Linked DNA regions of Nothobranchius furzeri. The protein of the gene in region 2 interacts with the protein of the main gene of each other region in a pairwise test. Links are inferred from orthologs where the notes say so. Each region holds a gene or a part of one and is shown on either strand. Other genes may lie near its edges. The genes, in order: traf3ip1, ift20, exoc7, nucleoporin p54, kxd1 and washc3.

Region 1 (4,104 bases), on a different chromosome or scaffold from region 2:
CGGTCAATCTGACTGATGAATGATCAGAAACATGGAGGCTGAATGAGAGCGACCCACCTTTTGACAGAGATGGAGCCTTCTCCTTCTTCTTCTGTTCTTCTGCAGCGGCACAAGCGCCGATCAGCAGAGCAAACACAGCCCAGTGAAGCATCTCCTCGTCCTCTGGAGAACCAGACAGCTGAATAAGGCGTGCACTTTTAAAGCACAAAGCATTTTTTGAACTCTTACACCCGCAGAGCTCACTGAAGGGCTTCAGCTCTGAGTCACCAAACAAGTCTGACAGGCCGGCGCGATGATGCCGCGAAGGAAGCTTGTTTTATGTTACTATTATTTTTATATTTTATTTTATTATGGATGACATCATCACAGCTGTTTACTGTAATCAAAATAGGAATGAGTCTTAATGTATTAATGCAGCTTCTTATTTAATCTCAATCCAATGAACTATTGTACCTTTTTTTCTTTTTGAAAGAAACAGCATGTAACTTTGCAAGCCCTTACGTAGCATTAAATGGTTTAAGCATTACATTTCTATTCTGAAGAGCAGCGAACAACTTTCCAGCTGAAACTGAATCTGAATTTTCTGATTTTTGGCTACTGAAGTCACTCGTAGTGGATGTCTTACCTGTCCAGCGTGAAGCAGCAAGCGTCTGTTTGAGCTGTTCTTCTCACCTTACCTTTTGTCAGACTTTTAACCGAACTTGCCAAACGGGTAAAACAAGCATCCTGCTTTAAATGAAACACAAAGAAAGGTCTATGACTTATATGAGACATATTTGCATGCATGGGAAGTTTGGGCACACCTTCATACGATTTCATAATTCATACTTTCATAAATAAAATTCTTTGAAACACTGACTCTAAATGTAGTATTAGTGCTTGTTTAATAAATCCAGTTAGAAAATGCTTCATTAATCCCAGATGGAAATTAAGTGTTGTTGTGAATAAGGAAACAATAATAAAAACAATAAAATTTAGGTATCTATCTATCTATCTATCTATCTATCTATCTATCTATCTATCTATCTATCTATCTATCTATCTATCTATCTATCTATCTATCTATCTATCTATCATCTGTCTGTCTGTCTGTCGGCCTAATCTTTATTTATTTTTGTTCTTGTGAAGCACGTCGTGGTTTTTATCTGGAGATGCGCTGTATACACGATCGTTTTCCTTATTTCGTTTCTTTCTACATAGCTAGCTACCGTTGCTATGGACACAGAACACCTAGCAACCGAAAGCCTATGGCGCATGCGCAGCTTTCGTTCGCGGTGCACTGTGGGATTGTTGGATATTGACATAGCAACGGAGCCCCAGAGCCGCCTAGCATTCGTGTTTTAGACCAGTTTTCGCCCCTTTTCTAGCAGCTAAATTGTTCAGTTGGGATTTCATCTGCCGCCATGAACGCAGCGGTGGTGAAGAGGACTCAGGACACGCTGGGGAAAGTCATAAAGAAGCCGCCGTTAACGGAAAAACTGCTAAACAAACCGCCGTTTCGTTACCTTCACGACATCATCAGTGAGGTGAGACCGACTAAGGACAACAGTTACGTTTAAAGACATTTTATAAAGTTAAAAACTGTATATGAAGCCCTTGCGTGTGCTTTATTATCTGTGTCCATGAAAGGGATAGCTCTAACCGGACAACCCTCACCAGGAGCGAGTTAGCTTAACCGCAGCTGTTCAAAAGCGGTATCACTGCATTTCTCCTCTTCAGCACCCAGAGCGAACACGCGTTAAAGACAAGCAGCTGCTAACGTTCATTATTATGACTGTACATGTTTAGGTTGTACTTGCTTCACACCTGCTGCCGAGCAGCTGACCACAGCTGTCTTGTTGGATGCATAAGTTCTGCCTTTTTGTATTTAATGTACAGCAACATTTGATCGACATCTAGATGTTAGATGTTTACAAACGTAGGATTCACCAGTGTAAGTCGTAGGTCTGGATAAATATTAAAATTTGTATTTTATTTGTAGTATCAGCTCCAAATAATGACAGTGTAAATGTCAAAAAGTATTATTATTTCAATGATTGTCCCTTCTTAAGACAAAACTTACTCTTGTCTAAGTAGAAATGGCAGAACGAGGGTAAAACACAAAGGCAACATATTTTGTACATCAAACATTTTCCTGTTATCTTCTGGCAACTGACGTTTTCTGAATAAGGAAAATTTAGAATATTTAAGATTTTAAATAACCAAAAACCGGTTTAAAATACTATTTATTTGAATAATGTATCTACACAAGAATTAGAATCATAATATATTGTAGAGTGCAGTCTGTCGTACTGTTTGTGTTTGGGGCATCATTAGATGCTCTTATTTTGATGAGCCACTCTGCTGTTTTCCTGATTTATTTTTGACTGACGAGCATTTCCTAACTGAATGAGTATTTGTGCAGAAAAAGTGTGTTTTCATTATTTACCTAAATTATTTAGGTTATTATTCTTCCCATAACTGAGCATCTGTGTGTGTGATGTGTGTAGAACAATATGACGTCAGCTTCTTGTGTTAAACCCTTTTTCTGCTCATGTTTGTGTAAAAAATAAAATCGTACATTTGTGTTTGTGTACATGCTTAAGAAAGCAGAACGGGTATTCACAAACAGGATATATTAGCAAAATGTATATAACTGCATGAACTAAATAATACATAATATATAATGTAATTTTAAAAATATTTTCTTTAAAAGCATGTTTTTTTTACAATTAAACTCATATTTTAACTCTTTTCTTTAACAGATTAGAGACTAAATCTATTTTCTAAACAGAACTGAGATCTTATTCTCTCACCACACTGGTTGGATGGTTTTATGTTTCACTCTAGCTTTATTTATAATTAATTGAGGTTAGCATTCCTATAGCAATATTCTTTTATCTGACTAAAGGAATTCAGTTGTTTAAGACATACTTGATTGAAAATTAAAACATTTTGCAGCCATAAGTCTGCTTTAAGCTTGCTTCCATAAAATCAAAAACATTTTGTGTTAACTTGTATTAGAATGATGTAGGTTTTGCAGAAGCACCTATAATATTTGTATAATAACAGTAAACCTTTATTTTCCTCTTGACTCTAAGGTAATCAGGAGCACTGGTTTTTTGAAAGGCCTCTATGGAGAAAATGAAATGAAGTCAGATAGTGTAAAGGTAAGCTTACTCTTGCTATATTTACTTGATTTTTGACCTTTTTTTCCCCTGAAAAGACTAATTTGTTCAGGATTACCCCCGTGTGTTTTCACTGGGCAGCCTGAGTCACCAGATACGCCGTCTGGCAACACTGTGAGCTAGAAGATCTGGCAGGCAGAGACTGAGTGTTTGTCGAGGTGTCAGAATGCTAGTCTGCTATTTGCAAGGCGATCCTTGATTAGGACTGAATGAAAGAGAGCTACACCGAGTCTTCTCTGCTTACAAACGTAGCTGCACGCTGCCCGTTTCTTACTAGTGAGAGAAATGAGTTGTTAGTGTTGTGTTTTACATTTCCTCCCTCGAACAACGAGGTAACAAGCGGTTAAACCCAGTCACTCTGGGGGTAAGATTCATATTTCAGTTTCATCACTTCAGCTGTCAGGAGTGCAGAGAAGTCAGTTTGACCAACAAGTCCTCCTGGTCTTTGGTTTATCAGTTTACTGACCTGCTTTTGCACAAAACAAATGATGTCATCATTTCTTTTTGGTATGGAACCAATTTTATTTAGATTTTGCCTTTAATCAGTTTATATTTTAAATGTTTTTGTCTCGGTAACGGCTTTTTTCATTATATCTCATTCTAGGAAAAGGACTCAAAAATAACCTTTCTTCAGAAAGCGATAGATGTCGTGATGCTGGTGACCGGCGAGCCTCTGGCGGCCAAGCCCGCACGGATCGTTGCCGGCCATGAGCCGGAGAAAACCAACGAGCTGCTTCAGGCCATCGGCAAGTGCTGCCTCAATAAGGTCTGCATCACACACACACGCGCGCGCACACACACACGCACGCACACACACACACACACACACACACATGCACTCACACTCACACACACACACACACACACACACACACACACACACACACACACACGCGCGCGCACGCACACACACACACACACACACACACTCACACTC
Region 2 (4,031 bases):
ACATGGTCTACAGGAGGTGTTTGAACCTTAAAGAACACAAAGTGTTTAATAAAACAACCAAACACTTTAAAATTCTCTTTCTGTTACACTTTAAACATCTAATAGCTCCTGTGATTCATAACTATTTGTATCATTCTCAGTTAAAAGCACTTGATAAAATACCTTAGTTGTTATTTAAACGAATACGTCAAAGTTTAATGTTTATTTTTGAGAGATTATTTGGTAATGCGGTTGTAGTCATTTTCAGAGGACATCGTACTGTGTACTTCCTGTTTCCGTCTCAGATAGATGGTGCACCAGTTTATCTGAAGTCCAACAGATCCAAAACACCTATGAGGCTCCAGTAGGGAGTTTTTCATTTACTCTTGTCCCAAAACAATCAGTTTAGCTTAAGATGGAAGCTGCTGCTTTCTGGTTAAAGTTGTGTGGCTGCTAAAAAATTCCGATAAAAAAATAGTTTGGGGCCCAGTAACAGTTAGGTTAGGTGATGATAACTAAACTCCGTGTAAACACAATATTTAGTTTCACATGCGTGTTAACTCTGATATACAGTTTCAGTTCAGAATAGCACAGGTCAGTGGAAACTAAAGCTTTTATGCTGTATGTTTATTCGTTTTACTGTATCTTGTTAGCATGTCCCGCTAACATTAGCCAAAAACTCAGAAAAGCAGATAAACAACAGATCAAATATTAGAAGCTGAACGCACTGAAACGATATCGCTGTTTGCATTAAATGCATTTCTAGTAAACGGAAAACTAACTCCTGAATATTCGTGATCACGAGGTAAAACTTCAATAAACTAAGGAAAAGTAAAAAATGGCCAAACTGGATCCTACAGTTGATCCTAAACACGGTATGAGTCTGTAAGCTTTAGTTACTCACCGTCCTCTTTTTTATGATTTTAAGTAATATTTACAACAACAATAAACAAATGGAGTTTTAAATGATTTTAAAAAAGAAAGAAAACAAAACAGACGTATCCGTTTCTTGTTCTTTTTCTGGAATGGCTGTTAGCGAACTGCTTTTTCGGTTCATTACCGTCACCTTCCGCATTGGGGTGGAACACCCACAGTAGATAAGAGAAACAACATATAGTTGGGCTTTTTTTTTATTTAATTTTTTTTTTTAGATTTAAATTTTAGATCATTTATGTCACTGAGCGACTGACTTGGTCACAGTTCTAAAAACATTACGATAAACATGTCACTCCCGTTCTCCGGTGTTACCTCGATACGAGTCCTCCACCCACCCTAGAGGAACTCATGTTGACGTAACACACCGGTAAAGTATTCAAACGGAAAAAACATAGGGGACAGCGTTGTAACGAAACAGTGAATAGTTTTGTTATGATAATTAAGAAGGATAGGGGAAAACGACCACCCCCAAAGACCCCGACACAGCTGTAGCTGTTTGGTTTCCTTGGCAGCGACAGGAGGAGCTTAGCTGCTAGTTCATCTGCTCTGCCACATCACACGGGATAAAGCCTATCAGCTCACGACTGTAACAGGTAAAACATACACATTTGTGTTTCTTATCTTCATAAAAACTGGTCATCTATTATGAAGTGGTGACAGAAAACAATTTGTGGCATTTTTGAAACATCTAGCTATGCTAGCTAACTTAAATCATCTAGCTGGGGAGTTCTTAACATGACCGAAACAAAATAAAAGCATAATCTTTCATTTGGTGACACATGAACTTTCATTCAGCCGAGGTTAATTTAAGGTGCTGTTAATTTAAGCACTAGAGTAGAAGGAATCCTGCTTTACCGAAAGGTTTGCACTTGAACATCTTTAGTAAAATAATGTGTTTTACTTCTGTTTGTTTTGAACCTGCTCTTGTGTGTATTATGATGATAATGGGGTGTTACCTGTTAGGTATATTATCCTACAAACTATCTGATATTACTAAACTAAGTTGCATCTGTCGTTGATGACAGGCCTCTGGCCATGGCTAAAGACCCACTCGCAGAGGCAGGGTTTTATTTTGATGACCTGAACAAGCTGCGGGTGCTAGAGCCTGATGTCAGCCACAAGACGTCAGAGCTTAAAGAAGAGTGCAAGGACTTTGTAGACAGTAAGCATGGAGATTTTACGTCCTCATCCCCACCCCCACACTTTTCCAACTATTTATTCCCTTTCATCATCACCAGCCTCAACAGTGTGTGCAAAATTGTCTCCTCTGTTGCAGAAATTGGACAGTTTCAGAAGACCGTGGGTGGTCTAATCGAGCTGGTGGACGAACTGGCAAAAGAAGCAGAAACGGAGAAGATGAAGGTAAGTCTGACACAGAAAGCAGCTTTGTATGTCCCTGTTTTCTCTCCTGATTCTGTGAAACTTTTAGTGGTATCGGGTTTATGCTCTAATCATGTGTAAGCAGAACTTATTACTCATCATCCTGTCCTGTAGGCGATTGGAGCCAGAAACTTGCTGAAGTCTGTGGCAAAACAAAGAGAAGCCCAGCAGCAGCAGCTTCAGGCCCTGATCACTGAGAAGAAGATGCAGTTGGAGAGGTAAAGTAGCGCGGTGCACGTGTGTCAGATGGGTTAGCATGACCCTTTAGGGACACGTGACCTTCAGAACAATAAACACCTATAAGGGTACTTTTAAAATACTTTAGTGATGAACTTTTTTGTTTTGTAGAAAAATATAGTTTTTAACCTTCAGATGTTTTAAGGTAAATGATGAGACTATTATTTTGAAGGACTGAAGGAAGTTTTTTTTAGTTCCACTTTGTATGCTATAATCAAATTTGTGCCTCAAACTCAGTAAAAAGCCCTGTTTATGTAACATTAGTAATAAAATGGAACAGGCTTCAGGAGCACACAGTGTTTTACTTAATTCAGTTGTTCTTGAAAAGGCTTTTTTCTACTGCCTTGTTTTATTTATTTGTTCCTCGGCGAAGCTGAGGCAGGAGCAGCAGAGGAATGGGGGTCTGGAGTATTGTGCTGGGAGTCAGCTGTAGTGAAGTGGACCTTCATATTTACCCCAAGTTCTAACTGTCGGTCCCGTCCTGTGAGCTGCTGTTGTGTTTCAGGTATCGCATCGAGTACGAAGCCCTGTCCAAAGTGGAGTCTGAACAGAACGAGTTCATCGACCAGTTTATTCTGCAGAAGTGAGAGAACACGAATAAAGAACGATACATTCAGCCTCTGAGTGCCTTTCCAGAGTGATTGTCATTTTAAGTCACTCCTACTGGAGCTTCGTCATCTGAAACCCAGCTTCAGTGTCATCAGGAAACCTCAACACCCGTTTCTGCGGCGCCGATCTCAGACGTGTGTGCGTGTGTGTGTGTGTGTGTCTGCAACACATCAAAGCAGCCATGCTGAATGCTCAACATCAGATGTGTCTATATCAAAGTCCAACAGAAAAATGTAGATCTATTTATATGAAGCAGCATTATTAATACTTTTCATGATGAAAATTAATCTGTATATCTAGTTTTGTAACTTTTTCTATGAACTGTCATGAATTCTGCATGTGATTGTTAGCAAGTTTCAAACGTTTCCTTGTTATGAAAGCCCGTTCTAGCCGACCTGCGGATATAAACACAAGCTTTTCTTAGATTCCTACAGATGTTTTACTTGAATACTGTGTATTGAATAAATCTGTCTTGATGGTTGGTGGGTTAATCTCACATGTATGTTTGGTTTTAGTAAAACTCCCAGGATTTTCTTTTTTTTTTACCTACAGAACAAAAAGTTGCTTTAAATCTGAGAGCTGTTTACTCCTCAGAGGTGTTCCCATGGAGCCTAGTGAACTAGACCAAATTCTTGCTTTGCAAAGTTTGCAAATAAATAATAAATGAATTGTGCAAACAAATAATATAAGTAATACGATTATTTAGTCTGGCTTGCCAGGCTAGTTCCCATGCTGTTAGAAGAATAAGAAAAGATCTGTTCTAAAGTGCCTCAAGATAAAAATCACGAGGCGCTTCACAAAAAATGTAAAAGAATTTAGAAAATGATTAAAAATCAGCAAAAACAGACAATTGTGATTAAAAATGTAAAGAGAGAATAGGAAAGAGGGAA
Region 3 (3,500 bases), on a different chromosome or scaffold from region 2:
TATGGAGAAAAAAAGAAAAAAGAAAAAAAAAACACCGAAAAAGAAGCACAACAGCATGACCAGCCACATTACCGTCCTGGGTTAACCCTGTTTTCTTCATTCTTATACTTATTTAAAATTAGGTTTTTATATTTTACTTTAAACTGGTTTGTTTTTACTTTCTTTTATCTCTTCTGTTGGACTGTTCCATAATTTAACTCCTGCAATTGCAATTGACCTAGTTTTTAAAGTTGTTCTAGCACTTTGTATTTTTAAATTCAATTTCCCTCTTAAGTTATACCCACCTTCTCTTTGTTTGAACAATAAACAGATTTCTTTTGGAAGCAATTTATTTCTTACTTTATTTACAATTTAACACCAGCAGTGACTTTCCACTCCCATTATTACCTGTTCAAGTGAAAACATCAATAAAACGACTGAACAAGAACATAGTGACAATATAAATAACAGTAACCATCTATCATTTTAGTCATTTGTAATAATTTACATGAAAACAACTATTAGTATTTAAATTATTTATTTATTTTACATTTAATTGGGTTTTTGGGGCCCATTTCAGGACCACAAACTTGGTGTTTCACGACCCACAGTAAGGTCGCGACCCCAACTTTGAGAACCACCGTTTTACTGTTTGCACAAATTGACTAGGGCAGGGTACAGAGGATGTAATGGTCAGAGCTAAGAGTCGAAGCAAAGCTTAATATTGACAGTAAATCACATAATGGTACCTTTAACTTGTTCATTACGAGATAACAGCTTGGATATTATTTCTGCAGAAAGCTCGTTTTGAGAAGGGTAAAGAGCTGCTGGAGGCCGAATTTCGGAGCCTTCTGAACCGCTACAGTAAACCCGTCCCCCCAATTCTCATCCTGGACGTTATCAGTGTTGATGAAGACATGGAGCTGCAGGAGGAGGTGTTGCTAGAGCACCTGCCTGAGGCTGTCCTCCAGGATATCATCTGCATCGCCAGCTGGCTGGTGGAATATGGACGCAACCAGGGTATGACTAGTTTTAGAGGTGTCTTACGTCTCACTATTTATGAATATTTGGTCCTAAAACTTTTTGGGTTAAACCTGTGGAGTCCTCATCATTGTTTTGGTTCCATAAGTCCAACAAATTGTCTTCAGTCTCTGGGCAGATTTTACACACCAGCTGTTCCTGAAGGTTGATTTTCTTTTATGGTTCATTAATCACAGCTTCCAGGGTAATCATCATGCAATAGGAGGTGGTTCAGGTTGTAGTCCATAACCACCGGTAGGTGTGGGCCATGTCGGGACCAGGAGGAGACCATGGTGGAATCATTATTAGCTGAAATAGTTAAAATACAGAAAATACTTTTCCCCTTATAGAAGCCCATTATCTCTGAGCTAAGTGTTGTCAGACTGTGAGGTATTTAGACACTTCTCTCCCGAACCATCTCTTCTTCTCCTGTCTTCAGATTTCATGAACGTCTACTACCAGATCAGGTCCAGTCAGCTGGATCGCTCCATCAAAGGCCTGAAGGACCACTTCCGTAAGAACAGTGCCTCCTCTGGGATCCTCTACTCTCCTGCTGTCCAAACCAAACGGAAGGACACGCCCACCAAAAAGATTCCAAAGAGACCAGGTCAGCAGCAGATTCCTCTGAGCTTTTGTCTTCATGACCTTTACGCCTTTAGCTGGACCCAGCAAACAAGTCCGAACCTGTTAGATGTCAGAATCTGATTTCCATCCAGCCACGGTCCTCTGAGGATTTGTCAGAGACTCCCTGAGCTTCAGAGATCCTGTCTCTGGTTTTAAATATCTTAGGTGTGTTCTTGCTGTGCGTTATTTCTAATTCCATGTTGTCGTTCTTTTTAAAACACAGAACCAGTTTAGTTTACCTGTTTTGTAGCTACGTTTCGCCGACGGCTGCCGGCTTCTTCAGGCTGACGCTGATGGTGGCGCGTCACTTCCTTCTCCGTTTATCTGCGGGCTGCGCTGGACCACGCACGGGACTGCATCGTCGGAGAGGGGAGAGCGGGCAGTAGAGGGCGACAACATCCTCTGCTGCCCGCAGATAAACGGAGAAGGAAGTGACGCGCCACCATCAGCGTCAGCCTGAAGAAGCCGGCAGCCGTCGGCGAAACGTAGCTACAAAACAGGTAAACAAAACTGGTTCTGTGTTTGAAAAAGAACGACAACATGGGACCTGGTTTTAAATGTTCTAACCATCCTTCATCCTTTCCTCTTCATAATCCCTGTGTTCCGATGACATCAGTCTACATCCCAGGTAAATGCAAAGCTTCAGTGTGAGCACTGTGCTTCCTGCTGTCCGCCTGACGCCACGCTTCGCCTCCATGTCAGTTCGGTTTTCGCTCAGCTGTGTCTGACAGGTCGTTTTCAGCGTGAAGGCCTTTAGCTTCATGGTGTGGAAAATGTCTCATACCGAAAAGGTGAAGCTGATTAAAAGTAATGAGGCTCGTTGCTGTTCCAGACAAACACCCTGGAGTTCCGGCTCACTTTACGGAGACGGGATCCCTAACCCCCAAATTCCACTACCTCCGCTCCGGTCCGTCCCCGCCTTCCGCAGCCGCTCGCTTCCGAACTCAATTTTTCTTGGTACCCGCTCTACAACGGCTCCGCTCCGGTGCGGAGACCTGAGGTGGGCAAACAAGCGTGCGCAGGATTTTCGAGATCTTGCGATACAGTCCGAGCAATAAACGCGGAAGTTTAGATCCAAACACCCGTTGTGTGGGAGAAGCATCGACAAGAACTGCTTAATCTGCCCATCATTTGTGTTGAGAGATCAGCAGTGTTTGGATCAACAAAGTGTGACTACTTTGACAGTAGAAACTGTATTTATGGCTTACTTTTGTGCATTTAAACTTCAGCTGCCATTGATAGTTGTTAAAAGTTGTTAAACCTGTGCATATGAAACAAAAAACGCCTTTTGTTTATCGATTTATTGTGAAAAACGGAAGTTGTGCTTGCTCCTTTTCCTGTTGGGCGGTTGTGATTTCTGTCCATTTAATGCGGAGGTGCTCCGGCGTCCGGCAAAAATAGGATCGATTCTATTTTTGCCGGACGCCGGAACAGAGGGCGGCGCACGGCGCCGCACTGCTGGAGCACGGCCGCAGTAGTGGAATTGCTCTGATTGACTACAACGGGACCGATTTTGCTCCGGCGTTCGTGTCGGAGCGGAGCGGAGGTAGTGGAATTTGGGGGTAAAGGTCTTCTGCTGTGGAGGGTTTCAGTTTGTCTAGATTGGTTGTTGTAGTTTAAATCAGGAACCAGTTCTTGACATGTACTGGTGAAGAGGTTTGTGTGTCAAGGCGGTTCAGAAGCGTTTCTAACTATTGTTTATTCCTAGTCAAGCTGTGATGAAGTCTTGATAAAAAGTACATTGCTTAAACGTAACAGAATGTCAGTTGTTTAGCAGCCTGTTGTTGAATTAACTCACATTTAATGCAAACGTCTCAAAAAACATTTGATTAGCAAAATCCTGAGTGAAAGGAGCAACTTTCCAGACTTACTTCCTG
Region 4 (3,981 bases), on a different chromosome or scaffold from region 2:
ATTGATTGTTACTGCTACAAACACGTGTCCTGAGTGTCTGCTTGCTATGAAATGTTGCATCTTGTTGTTTTTACTCTGTACACAAAATAAAAAAGTAGTTTCAGTAGTTCTGTGTTTGCCTCTGAGTTTGGTGAATAAGATGTGAGTGCAGAGGGAATTAAAATACAGGAGATTAGCTGCAGACACGGGAGCAAGGATGAAACCTCCAAAATCTGTAACTTTGACAAGCGTTACGATAAGTTTCAAGTTTACATAATATTCTATTCGTTTTTATTTGTAAATATCTTTGCCATACTTGCATAGCAGCAGCAAATATAAATTCACCCATACATGGACTTAGTTTTTTTTTTGGAGGGGGGAGGGGGAAGATGTCCCCCCACTTTTTCAAAAGTCAATTTTTGTCCCCTGCACTTTTTACCATCCACAAACAATATTACGCTACATTAAATTGGCACTGGTTGAGCACTAGGACCAAGCGGAAAACACCTGCTTGTGTTGAAGCCTGTTTCTCGTTAGAACTGTCTATAAGCTCATCTGTTGGCTCTACTAATACTTGAAAAGATGGCAAGCTATATAAATGAATGAGTCTTGTCTTTTGTAAAACAATTCAGAATATTTTTTATTTCATGTGTGTATGTTTGCATTCATGTAATAGCCCAGAAATCTAGATCGACTGTAGCACAAGCAAAAGGATATAGGGTGGCTTGCTAATTCTTTTGTACTCAAACTAAACTCATGAATGATTCTGTGTTACCAAAGGTAATTTATAATAAAATGTATGTATAGTTTGTATGGATAATAATAATAATAATAATAATAATAATAATAATAATATACGGTTCATGGCTCTTCAAGGACTAATAAACCTCAAAAGCTTCTAATAATTGGAGATTCCCTTTATATTATTTAGAATGTAAGCACTTCCTCTAATACTTTATTTTCTTGTGCTTATTTTTATGTATGCTCATTCATTGAAATATGACTGTTTTCTTTTTTCGAACATAATAGCTCGTCGTGTTTTTATTTGTACTATAAAGTTGATCAAATTAAAGCTGAACAATGTTAAAATCCGGACACTAGGTGGCGGAAGAGCGTTGCTTTGTTGAAGTATGAACAGTCTATGAGTATGAACGATGTGTTGAGAAATACAGAAACGATTAGACTAACTCTAGTTTCAGCGCCTTTGGCTTCCTGACAGGGTCGTGGAAGGCGCTTTATAATTAAAGCTTTGATTGATTGATTATGTAGGAAAACGCACACATGTGTACTAACCAGTCCACACTCCGTGCCAGTTGGTGGCAGTAATGTGGCACGACGTTGGTCGCCAACTGGCATAAAACATCAAACAGGAGAAGAAGAAAAGAAGCGACGAAGAAGAACTGACATTCGCCAACATGGCGTTTAGTTTTGGCGGCGCCACGAGCAATACAGAAGCAAGTATGGACTTTAGTTACCTCTACTTTGTATTCTTTCTCTTAGCGAAAGCTGTGTCGGATATGTGTCATAAACCAGACGCCACAAGGATATGAACGCATTACTAGCATATGTAGTTAGTACGTGTCGCAAGCTAACTGCTGTTGAAGCATCATGTAATCTCACAATCCGGCCAATGCAGCAAACTTCAGTGGGTTGTGTTCCACGTTTTAAGTTAAAGTCATAACTAGTTTGTTACGTATTCAGATGCGGGACAGATTACTTGGTCATCTACCTTTAGCAGTAAAGCCTCCCCATGTTAGCGTCATGCTACGAATCAGCTACTAGTTAGCTACTGTATGAAGTTTTCAGAAAAGCATCGAAGGATACAGTAGAGATGTAATCCAACATTTAAAGACTCGTTTATGTTCTTTTAAAGGCGCGCCCGGGTTCTCATTCGGCGCATTTGGTGCCAAGACGACGGCATCAACCACGTTTGGATTCAACCCCACGGCCACCACGACCACCGCTTCTTCAGGGTTTGGCAGTAAGTCACGCTCCTGACCCACATTCAAGAGGTCTTCTGTGTTTTGTTTTGGCTTTCATTCGTGTGTGTGTGTGTGTGTGTGTGTGTGTGTGTGTGTGTGTGTGTGTGTGTGTGTGTGTGTGTGTGTGTGTGTGTGTGTGTGAAAAAGCTCTAACAGCTCCTGGTTTTGGGACTGTCACCTCCACTTCTGCACCCGCTACAGGATTTAGCTTTGGCTCCACCAACACGGGTAGGACAAACATTAGTTTTAAAGCGCGTTTCATTCGTTTTGTTGATTTTTAGACGATTAACTCACTGAAGAGCTGGTGCCAAATGTAGCATTGTGTCATTTAACTCCGTGTTACTTTCTTCTTGCTGCCTGCCTGCTTCGGCTACAGGATTTGGGGGGCTTGGAGCTGGAAGCACCATGGCTGGCGGGTTTAGTTTTGGGGGGTTTGGTTTAAATGCCAACCCAGCAGCAATCAGCTTTAATGCAGGGTGCTTTGGTACAGCAACCACTACTGGCACTATTTTCAATTTTGGTAATAGCCTGACTAGCACAGGTAGATGATCTCTGTGATCGAGTTCATTTTGTGTTTGCAAAAATCGTTTGTGTCCACCTCCATGTGATGCAGTGTTTTTCTTTCTCCATCTCACCTGGTGACTCTTATACATCTATGTTCTGAAGTTTCACTGTTTTTGCATGAAAGACTGTGTTAAACTATGCTCTCATCTTGTGTGATGATGAATGTGGACATTCAGTACATTTTTTGCAGAACATCATGTTTGATGGATGTCATTTGATCATTGCCAGAAATACTTTTCTGCTACTCACCATGCACCCAGTGATTTCCAACTCTTGTTCTCTCATCTCCTTTCCCTTTAACTCCTTTCATTGGAGGGATTATTCTTTGATTTCCTTTCCAGGTACATTTGGTGGCTTTGGGGCAACGACAACAACAGCTGCTGCACCGGGGTCCACTTTCAGCTTTACTACCCCCTCCAATACAACAGGTTAGTAACAGAGTAACCTCTGTGAGTACACATTTAGAGCAAAATAAATATTAAAGCTGTGCGTGGCGACATTAGGAAGAATTTGGACTAACTTGAATATAAAAAATATATATTGATGGAACCACCCCCCAGCTTTACATGTTACTCTGAAGGTGCTGGTGAATACTGCTACTAGTAGTCAAAGTGGTGATTGACCGTTAGAGGTCTCATGCCTTTACAAGATATTTTTACTGAGACCCTGCTGATTCTCCAGAGCAGGTTAGGTTTCCAGTTTGGGAATTGCATGAGATGACACTTCTCGTCTGCTAATCAGTAATGGTGAGCAGATTCACCATTTAATCAATCGATTGCACTGTGACACTTGCCAATTCAATAACAATTTATAAATATATAAAAAAAATATATAATGAAATGCCTAAAAACAGCTGCTAAGCACGGCAGGAACATAAAAGTTGCACGTACCATTCGTACACTTTAGGGGACGGACCAGCGGAAATGTAATAAACAGCAGTAGAGAGCCTAAGCCACGCCCATTTACTTCCAGTCCGGTCTACTTCCAGCGTGTGAATGACTGTTCTTCGTGGAAGCACTTTCGAGTCCTCTGACACAGAAATGCCAATTACCATTTCAGTTTATTTACTATAAAATCACAAATGAATGTTTAAGAACATGTGTAAGATGCAGGTGATGTCCTATTAACACCAGTTCAAGTTACTATTTTATCCCAAATAAACAACCAAAACAGCAGGTTCTATGATGCTATATTCTTGTTCTAGCATGAACACTGAGCTGCTACAAGATGTCTCACTTTACCAAAACACGGGGCTCTCCTTGTTGCTGTGTTCCTTCTGCAGAGCTGACAGCATCTTTTCTTTTTTGGGTTTTAATTTGTTGCTTTTGAATGCGTTTTGTCTTAGGAGGCCTGTTTGGGAACACAGCCAACAAAGGGTTTGGATTCCCAGCAGGACTGGGAACCGGTACCGCTACTGGAACATCAGGGTTTGGAACTGGATTAGGAGCAACTGGAT
Region 5 (4,195 bases), on a different chromosome or scaffold from region 2:
GAAAAATCAGTTTTTTCCTACAGAGTTTGTAGAGTTTGTGATCTTTAACAGATTAATAACAAGATAACAACAATTACAGAGGCCCGTGCTCACTGAAATACACAGCATTACCTGCTGCTCAATGACTTACTTTGAAGCCGTTTCGAGTGACTAAAATCTTTTTTGCAAATTGTTCACTCTATTCTTCATGTACAGAGTCAGGACCCTCATCTTGCAGAACTCCTGTCTCTAAGCCATCAGACGTTGGTGTGTCGGTAGGCTCCTGAGAGAGATCTTCTGAGCATCGGCTGACGGCGGGTGAAACCACATCGGGGCTTGTGTCACAGGAATCGGTGCTTTGCTCCGAGGTGGCCGCTGTGATTGTCGTGGCAAAACTTGGAGGTACTGGGTCAAATTCTTCATCATTATCATCATCATCCAAAATAGGTGACTCATGGACATCTGTCAAGTAAAAACCCGGATTTATTGAAATGGCTGTTGGAGATTTAGAAGAACAATGTTTTCTAAAAACTTTTCAACACAAACAAACTCCCTGTACCACCCAGAACTGCGCTGCTCTGTGTGGCTGCATGTTGGAGTAGCTCTGTTGACTATATGTAAGTTTTGCCTTTTCTTGGGCATTTTTTCTTCTAGTTTCTCAAGAAAAACTGTATTTTTTTTGGACACTTTACTTTTCTGTTTCTGGTGCTGTGAAGCTTGGAGGATTTTTACAGCTATTTTTTAGCTTTTTTCACTTTTTGAGCTTTGTTATGATGTGTAACCATGGCAACACACTGTTTACATTCGGGAGCAGCTGATTAACATTGGAAAGGCTGAAATAATACCTCAACTGAAGCCACAAATCCCAAATGAGCTAAAACGCAAGAAGCGTGGGTGCAGAGCGGGAGCAAAATGGAGACAGAGAAAGAGGAAATTCAAACCATCTCCTCCATCAATCATAATGGGCAATGTGAGATCACTGGCCAACACGATGGAGGAACTCCAAGCCCTTTCAAGGACTCAGCCAGAGTTTCGGCAGTTTCAGAGCCACTGGAGGAGATAATGCAAAGAAGGAATCTCCAGGAATCTCCAGAGAATCAAGAAAATGATGGACAACCCTGAGCATTCTCTTCACAAGACTGTCCGACAACAGAAGAGTGTCTTCAGTCAGAGGCTTCTTCAGTTTCGCTGCAACACTGACCGCTACTGGAGATCCTTCCTGCCAACAGCCATTGTAATATACAATAACTCTTTGATGACTTGATTATTATTATTATTCTGAGCTACTACAGCAATCAATTTCCCTCTGTGATTATGTTTATATTTATGTATTTAGCAGACGCTTTTGTCCAAAGCGACTTACAAGTGATAATCGGCATGTTGCCCTTGAGGCTAACAACAACAATAACAACAACTTGACATCAATCATGAAGAGGAAGGAACAAAGGAGTGGACAGTAGAGAGGGGGGACGGGTGCAGGGAAGGTGCTAGTTAAGAAGATGCTCTCTGAAGAGCAGGGTCTTCAGGAGTTTCTTGAAAATTGAAAAGCAAGCCCCTATTCTGGTAGTGCTTGGACAGCAGCTTCCTTTTCAATTTTCAAGAAACTCCTGAAGACCCCGCTCTTCAGAGAGCATCTTCTTAACTAGCACCTTCCCTGCACCCATCCCCCCTCTCTACCATGATGATTAATAAAGTAGTTGTGAATTGAATAGAAATCAAATTAGTTTCAATGTTTGTAACAATACTGTTTTATTGTATTTAGAAATAAATAAATCTACTACTTGATGCCAGAAAAACACTTTTAAAAGGCCATAAAAGAAGTAAATAAAAACAGAAATGTTAATAATTTATGCAGGTAACACTTACTGATTTCATTGATTGAAATCAACAGACTAATGAACTCATTACAAGTTGAGAATTGTTTTGGATAATAAGCAAATGTTAACTTACTGCTGAAAGCATCAGGGTATTGTTTAGAAATCTTCCCTTTTAATGTCCTGGAGGAAACAAAAGGAGATCAGTTATTAGAGGTTGGGCTGTGCGTCCCTGTTTGTGCAGGCAGAGTAATGACTAACCTGATTCTTCTGAAGATGCTATCCAGATCCTTCTTCATCTCAACCAGGGTGCGGGTGTGGTGCAGGAAGCGCTCGTTCATCTGCTGCAGTCGCACGTTTGACAGTCCATTAAAGTTGATCAGCATTTCATTGGTTTTCTCAAAGCGATCGAGCCTGATGAAACAAAGATTAGGCAGAAAATAACTATCATAATAGAAAAAAGGCAGAAACGTTACAACTGACATAAAAAAACAACTCAAATTTTTACACACAGTGTAATCAGGCCTCACAGACAAGAACAGCCTGATACTCACATGTGTCTTTGAGCTTGGATGATGGCATTCACATCTTCAGAGTTAACCATGCTCAGGATCCTGTTACAGAACACACTGGAGGCTGTGGGCTCCACCATGACGACGAAAAACCTGCATTTTCATAAACGAAACAACACGCACCAAATCAGGCATGGCAATACTTAAAGTTCTCTACAAATATTACGAGAGAAAAATGTTGCAAATCCACTAATCCAAATAATCGGCTGTTTTATTCACATCCGAGCGGTTTTTCTGCGCTAAAGGTAATACTACGTGAAAAATAAAGGAATAATATTATCATTTACCTCAACAGGTGTTGTTATCAACCTTGGTTTTCAACAGAACACTACATTTGACAGGCAAATTAAACAAAAACAAAACACTTCCGTGTATTTCTGTTTCTTCTGTTTACATGACTGTTTCTGGTTCATTTTCTTCTTCGGCGGGTATCTTTCAACTTTTGCGACTCATTGCCGCCACCTGCTGTATAATGGTGCACACAACTGGTCATTTTCTGGCATTTTCTAGCTCTTTCTGGGGGTGTTCTTGACTTTTCTAACCCCATTGAACTTTCTGGACTCTGGCCTTTTTTTTTTTTAGTTATAAATCCATCCACCAACATATTACCGTGAATTCGTTAAACAATTCATTTGAAATTGAGAGATATATTCAGTTATTTAGTCATCAAGTCAAGATGAATCTGTACAGTTCTATTTAACTTTATAAATACCAATTTAACATTTCATAAAACATGCTGATTTCCTCTTTTTGCCACATTTAGCTTTAACATTAATGTCCATTCTGCTTCTATCTTTGTTTTTGTTTTGTGTTTTTCCAACAAATCCGTAATTTTCAATTAGAAAATTCTCAAAAACATAAAACTGCTGAGCTGAGTTATTGAAAAGCTGTGATTGAAAAACAGATTTTGGTTGGCCTTCTAAGATTGAAAACGCCCTATATCCATTTCATATTAAATTTGTCTTGGGTTTTAAAAATGTAAAAACAAAAACAAATTTAAAAACTAAAATATCTTTATCTTTTTCCGGAATTGCGCCACTGTGGCTGCATATTGGAGTAGCTCTGTTGACTATATGTACGTTTTGCCTTTTCTTGGGCATTTTTTCTTCTAGTTTCTCAAGAAAAACTGTATTTTTTTGGACACTTTACTTTTCTGTTTCTGGTGCTGTGAAGCTTGGAGGATTTTTACTGCTATTTTTTTTTTTAGCATTTTTCACTTTTTGAGCATTTGTTATGATGCGTAACCATGGCAACGAGCTGTTTACAATCAGGAGCAGCTGATTAACATGGGAAAGGCTGAAATAATACCTCAACTGAAGCCACAAATCCCAAATGAACTAAAACGCAAGAAGCGTGGGTGCAGAGCGTGAGCAAAACGGAGACAGAGAAAGAGGAAATTCAAACCATCTCTTCCATCGATCATAATGGCCATTGTTAGATCACTGGCCAACACGATGGAGGAACTCCAAGCCCTTTCAAGGACTCAGCCAGGACTCCGCTAGAGGAGATAAAGCAAAGAAGGAATCTCCAGGAATCTCCAGAGAATCAAGAAAATGATGGACAACCCTGAGCATTCTCTTCACAAGACTGTCCGACAACGGAAGAGTGTCTTCAGTCAGAGGCTTCTTCAGTTTCACTGCAACACTGACCGCTACTGGAGATCCTTCCTGCCAACAGCCATTGTAATATACAATAACTCTTTGATGACTTGATTATTATTATTATCATTCTGAGCTACTACAGCAATCAATTTCCCTCTGGGATTAATGAAGTATTTTTGAATTGAATTGAAAAAGTAAAAATAATTTATTTTTTACATTCTAAATATCT
Region 6 (4,149 bases), on a different chromosome or scaffold from region 2:
CTGAGACACCAAAACAAGAACGTTTGCATGTGAAACAAAACACCATTCACCCTGGCCTTCAATCCGAGAAGGAGATGCGCTCTCTGTCTGTGGTTGATCAAACCAGGAACTGCTTCTGTCAGCATGGACACAAACTCCTGCAGCTTCCCATAGTTCATCACATCTTTCCCCTTCATCAGATTCCACATAGCAGCAGACAGAAGATGCAAGGGAGGCACCAGGAGGCGAAAGGAGGGCAAAGGGAAGTTTGGGTCTGAAACATTAATGTGTAAAGTCAGAAATGACCGATGGAGGGCAGTAACACACCCCCTAATTCAGAGAGCATTCAGAGTACTTGCAGGAAACAGCAGGTGGATAAAATTTTCACGATGTGATTTTGCAAAGTTCTCACATTTTACACATAACTGAAACAGTTATTGGCTTCATACAGATAATTAAAAACAATCAAGCAATAAAACAATCACGTGATCTGTTACATTGTTGTCTGTCATTTGCTTGCTTGCTTGCTAAAGTCACTGAGACCAGTCAGTGACTGGATGCAGTTTGCTGGGTTCCTTATATAGGAAACTTTTTTTCCTGATTGGCTTAATGAACTGACCTGTATTGGAATGTTAACTATGTGAAGTGCCTCGAGACGACTCTTGTCGTGATTTGGCGCTGTATAAATAAACTTGAATTGAATTTGAGCTACAGGCTTTTGAACTGGAGAAAATCCTGGACAGATCTTTAACATTTTAGATACACAATCTGGAAAATGTCCACAGATGTTACTCAAAAGCTTCGCAACTTAGTTAAAACAATATATCGCGTAAGAGTGTCTGTACATTTAACAGCAAGCTAACTTCCACTGCGCAACAACAACAGTCTGCCAAATAATGAACATTGTGGTTCCTTTAAATAGACAGAGCCCACTGATAGTAAAACAAACACGTCTCCAGAAAATATCAGAAAGGCAAACTGGTAACATACATACCCTCCATTTTTTCTTTTGATTCCACAACTTCCATTAAAGCATCCCACCAAGTGAATTTGAGGAATCTGTGTATATTTGTGCTGTTTGTTTTGGTGGCTAATGCGCTATTAGAGCGCAAGCATCGCTTCCTCAAGTATTCACTCAAGTTTCCGCTTTTCAAAATATATGTCTGAAAGACGTGTTTTGGTGTTTTCTAATGAATTTCAGAATGCTATTATTTTCAAGTTCTTTTTTACTTCAAAGCCAATGACTAGATAAAGAAAAAGTTTAGAAAATTTCGACAGCTCGAAATATAAAAGTGTGAATTCGAGTGCATTGATGCCTCTTCAAAATAAAAGTTAATCATTTCCTTTTCCTAGAGTGACGTAATCACGTAGCCAGTCACACTGCTCAGTGTCACGTGAAGCCTTCAACGGTGTAAATGTTTTGTTTCATGTCATTTTTTCTTTCAAATTTCGTGCCATTAGACCTGAAACCACATTCCTATTCACAGGAAGTGTAAAACGCTAACATGGACGAGGACGGCCTGCCGTTAGTCGGGTCAGGAGTCGATCTTACGAAGGTTTGTGTTTCTAACTGGTTAGCTAACACTGAAAACCTGAGAACCCAAAGCTATGTTTGTGCTTTTTAACAAAATATATAATCACTAATGCAGAGAAAACTGTGGCCTTTTTCTAACTAATTTCACCTACTTGTAACTGTTTGCCTAGTCATTTTCCTTTTGGTTTGTTCTAAAGAAGTATCAAAAGAGGAAAGAACGTTTTCTCTCCGAACACTGATGTTCTATTTGAATACATCATTCATTAGATTCTATTACCGGTGTTGTGCCGAAAAGAGCTTGTCTGCGAAAATGTGCATCCCCTGCGGGAAGGCGCGTATGAGACCGCTTTTTAATAAATGTGTACAACATGAGCTGCATCCTTCCTTACAAAATGATGGTTTATGAGCAAATAAGTAAAATAAACTACTGTTTATAACATGTTTTATTTTAAGTAATATAATGCACATATAAAAGGTTAGTCATTTTGAGTCTGCTTTTTTAAACCAACAAAATTGTTTAATACTTGCTAAAACATTAGTGTCAAACGTGTTGAAAAAGGTCAATTATTTAATCATTATTTCATCATATTTGTAGTCAAAAACAAAATCTTTTCAGGAGAAACACGGATTAGAAACGTGTTCAAATTCTGAATTGCTCATAATTCAAATTCTTCTTCAATTTGCGTCTTTCGACGGGGATACACATTTCGGTAGGCGTGCTCTTTTCGGCACAACACCTGATATACAGTAGTCTGTTATTCCAAATGTTTTTCCTCCACACCGATTTGCATCCATTATATGCAAAGTCAGACATGTGGGTAGAGTAGCCAGAGATTATACTCAAATAAGAGTAGCATTACTTTCATATATGTTTACTTGAGTAGTTAAAAAAAAGTACAAAAACTGTGTTTGCAAAAAAGCTGCTCAAATAATGAGTAATCATAACAGCTCCTTTAATTTATAAAATCCATTCAAACAGATAATAGTATAATGTTATATGATAAATTATATAATGTAAAGACTTAATTAAAATGTTGCATTTCTTTTTCCTAAAAATACTCAAGTAAATATAATTAGTAACTACCCAACACAGAAAATCAGATTTGATAGTTTTCATCATTCTTTTTGCCATTAGCATTTTGTTTGATGCAAGACTTTAAAGGTAGAACTCAGCTGCTTTTAAAATTCTCTCAAATACTTGAAACTTTGCAATAATCCACAGGTTACTGTATGTTATTGTGTTGTTTAAATAACACTGCTAACACATGACCCTGGTCTGTTTATGTAGATGTTGTTTATTCTCCCTGGTGTTAATTGTTGTTTTGTACTGCTTTGTTTCAATAAAGATTTACAAAAAACATTTTAACAGCAGTAGTTAAAAGTCATTTTAGAATCCCCTCAATATTATTTAAAGCCATAACATTCAAAAATCAATTATACTAGAGGTTTATGTTTAGTAAAATAAACTATAGTAACACTTGGTAAGTTTTTAATTATACTGCTTTTATCTTTTCTCAGGTTCCTGCAATACAGCAGAGACGAATCGTTGGATTTCTCAACCAGTTTGTTGTGCACACCGTACGATTTCTTAACCAGTTTTCCACCGTGTGTGAAGAGGTTTGTGTTTGTTTGTTTGTTTTTTACTCCTTAATGCTTCTTCTGCCTCAGAATATGAACTCAAATTATGTATTTATTTATTTTTTTTACTTCTCTTCACAGAAACTTGCAAACATTTCTCTTCGCATACAGCAGATTGAAACCACACTCAGCATTTTAGAGGCTAAGGTAACTTGTGAGACCTTGATACCGTTTCTGGATGTTGTCTTTTCACTTATGCAGTGACATTGTTCTGAGCAGCTGTCCTCTATTCCTGGACTGGAGGACGTCACAGTAGAGGGCCTCAACCAACAGCAGGCCTCCCACACTAAAGGACCCAGTACTATCGGTCAGAACCTAACTAACGGTGTAGCAGCAGGACCACCTTCTTCCTCAGAGGTAGGAGTTCAGACCCACCTGCAACAGACATGCAGGTTCAATCGGCCACGATGAATGCCAAAACAGTCTTTGTGTCTTTTTTCTTGTTTGGGAGTCTGTGATGCCAAAAATCGGCAGTTGAACTTTTCTTTTTAAGTCGGAATGTAGATTGTCATCAGCTCTTTGGTCGATGCAACAAGTAGAAACCTGCCGTCAACGCAACTGTTGTTTTGTTTTCTTTTGGAGTTTACGTACAAAAAAGGCTCAACATTCCCCTCCTGTTGTAAAGGATAGACTTTTAGTTTTGAGAACCTTCAAAGAAGTATGTTTGTTACTGGCTGCTTTGTTTGCATAGTGATCGGATTGGATTTTGATTGTCCTCCTCACACTCTGACAGGATTGTAAAATCCTATCCAGAAGTGTGACGTTACATATTTACAGTGAGAAAGGTGGAAAACCTTCAGGGCAGATTTCCTGAGTCTGCAGCACAGAGTTCAGGCCGAGGTCAGTAAACAAGCCATCACTTTTGGTTAAAACAGTGCACCAGGTCAGCTCAAACACCTCCTGTCCTCTGTAAAGCACGGTGGCAGGGGGCTGATGATTTGGGCTTATTTCTGCAGTGACTGAGTCAAACATGAACTCCTCTTTACACCAAAGTGGTC

Evidence for each region.
Region 1: the proteins of ift20 (region 2) and traf3ip1 interact in a two-hybrid assay, tested with the Homo sapiens proteins (2 studies listed by IntAct). The link is inferred for Nothobranchius furzeri from reciprocal best matches to the Homo sapiens genes IFT20 and TRAF3IP1.
Region 3: the proteins of ift20 (region 2) and exoc7 interact in binary tests that used the Homo sapiens proteins (3 or more experiments, as listed by UniProt). The two-hybrid records come from large-scale screens. The link is inferred for Nothobranchius furzeri from reciprocal best matches to the Homo sapiens genes IFT20 and EXOC7.
Region 4: the proteins of ift20 (region 2) and nucleoporin p54 interact in binary tests that used the Homo sapiens proteins (3 or more experiments, as listed by UniProt). The two-hybrid records come from large-scale screens. The link is inferred for Nothobranchius furzeri from reciprocal best matches to the Homo sapiens genes IFT20 and NUP54.
Region 5: the proteins of ift20 (region 2) and kxd1 interact in binary tests that used the Homo sapiens proteins (3 or more experiments, as listed by UniProt). The two-hybrid records come from large-scale screens. The link is inferred for Nothobranchius furzeri from reciprocal best matches to the Homo sapiens genes IFT20 and KXD1.
Region 6: the proteins of ift20 (region 2) and washc3 interact in binary tests that used the Homo sapiens proteins (3 or more experiments, as listed by UniProt). The two-hybrid records come from large-scale screens. The link is inferred for Nothobranchius furzeri from reciprocal best matches to the Homo sapiens genes IFT20 and WASHC3.

The regions. Positions count from the first base shown.
Region 1 is NC_091754.1:2,499,749-2,503,852, reverse strand, and holds the start of traf3ip1 (TRAF3-interacting protein 1), read left to right. Parts: upstream 1-1,304; 5' UTR 1,305-1,403; coding exon 1,404-1,526; intron 1,527-3,080; coding exon 3,081-3,149; intron 3,150-3,771; coding exon 3,772-3,933; intron 3,934-4,104. Other genes in the region: agr1 (anterior gradient 1), read right to left, coding at 58-194, 626-729, 1,209-1,304.
Region 2 is NC_091753.1:22,422,731-22,426,761, reverse strand, and holds ift20 (intraflagellar transport protein 20 homolog), read left to right. Parts: upstream 1-1,231; 5' UTR 1,232-1,508; intron 1,509-1,940; 5' UTR 1,941-1,950; coding exon 1,951-2,077; intron 2,078-2,191; coding exon 2,192-2,277; intron 2,278-2,409; coding exon 2,410-2,513; intron 2,514-3,037; coding exon 3,038-3,119; 3' UTR 3,120-3,705; downstream 3,706-4,031. UniProt on the Homo sapiens protein: Part of intraflagellar transport (IFT) particles involved in ciliary process assembly. May play a role in the trafficking of ciliary membrane proteins from the Golgi complex to the cilium.
Region 3 is NC_091756.1:53,828,735-53,832,234, reverse strand, and holds part of exoc7 (exocyst complex component 7), read left to right. Parts: intron 1-776; coding exon 777-999; intron 1,000-1,438; coding exon 1,439-1,606; intron 1,607-2,239; coding exon 2,240-2,251; intron 2,252-3,500. UniProt on the Homo sapiens protein: Component of the exocyst complex involved in the docking of exocytic vesicles with fusion sites on the plasma membrane.
Region 4 is NC_091746.1:59,725,120-59,729,100, forward strand, and holds the start of nucleoporin p54, read left to right. Parts: upstream 1-1,181; 5' UTR 1,182-1,394; coding exon 1,395-1,437; intron 1,438-1,852; coding exon 1,853-1,960; intron 1,961-2,108; coding exon 2,109-2,189; intron 2,190-2,337; coding exon 2,338-2,502; intron 2,503-2,866; coding exon 2,867-2,953; intron 2,954-3,870; coding exon 3,871-3,981. UniProt on the Homo sapiens protein: Component of the nuclear pore complex, a complex required for the trafficking across the nuclear membrane.
Region 5 is NC_091744.1:73,270,766-73,274,960, reverse strand, and holds the start of kxd1 (kxDL motif-containing protein 1), read right to left. Parts: upstream 2,801-4,195; 5' UTR 2,653-2,800; intron 2,459-2,652; 5' UTR 2,446-2,458; coding exon 2,348-2,445; intron 2,208-2,347; coding exon 2,055-2,207; intron 1,977-2,054; coding exon 1,930-1,976; intron 442-1,929; coding exon 179-441; 3' UTR 1-178.
Region 6 is NC_091741.1:43,372,339-43,376,487, reverse strand, and holds the start of washc3 (WASH complex subunit 3), read left to right. Parts: upstream 1-1,349; 5' UTR 1,350-1,484; coding exon 1,485-1,535; intron 1,536-3,031; coding exon 3,032-3,130; intron 3,131-3,232; coding exon 3,233-3,298; intron 3,299-3,370; coding exon 3,371-3,508; intron 3,509-4,149. Other genes in the region: uncharacterized protein, read right to left, coding at 51-253, 974-1,007. UniProt on the Homo sapiens protein: Acts as a component of the WASH core complex that functions as a nucleation-promoting factor (NPF) at the surface of endosomes, where it recruits and activates the Arp2/3 complex to induce actin polymerization, playing a key role in the fission of tubules that serve as transport intermediates during endosome sorting.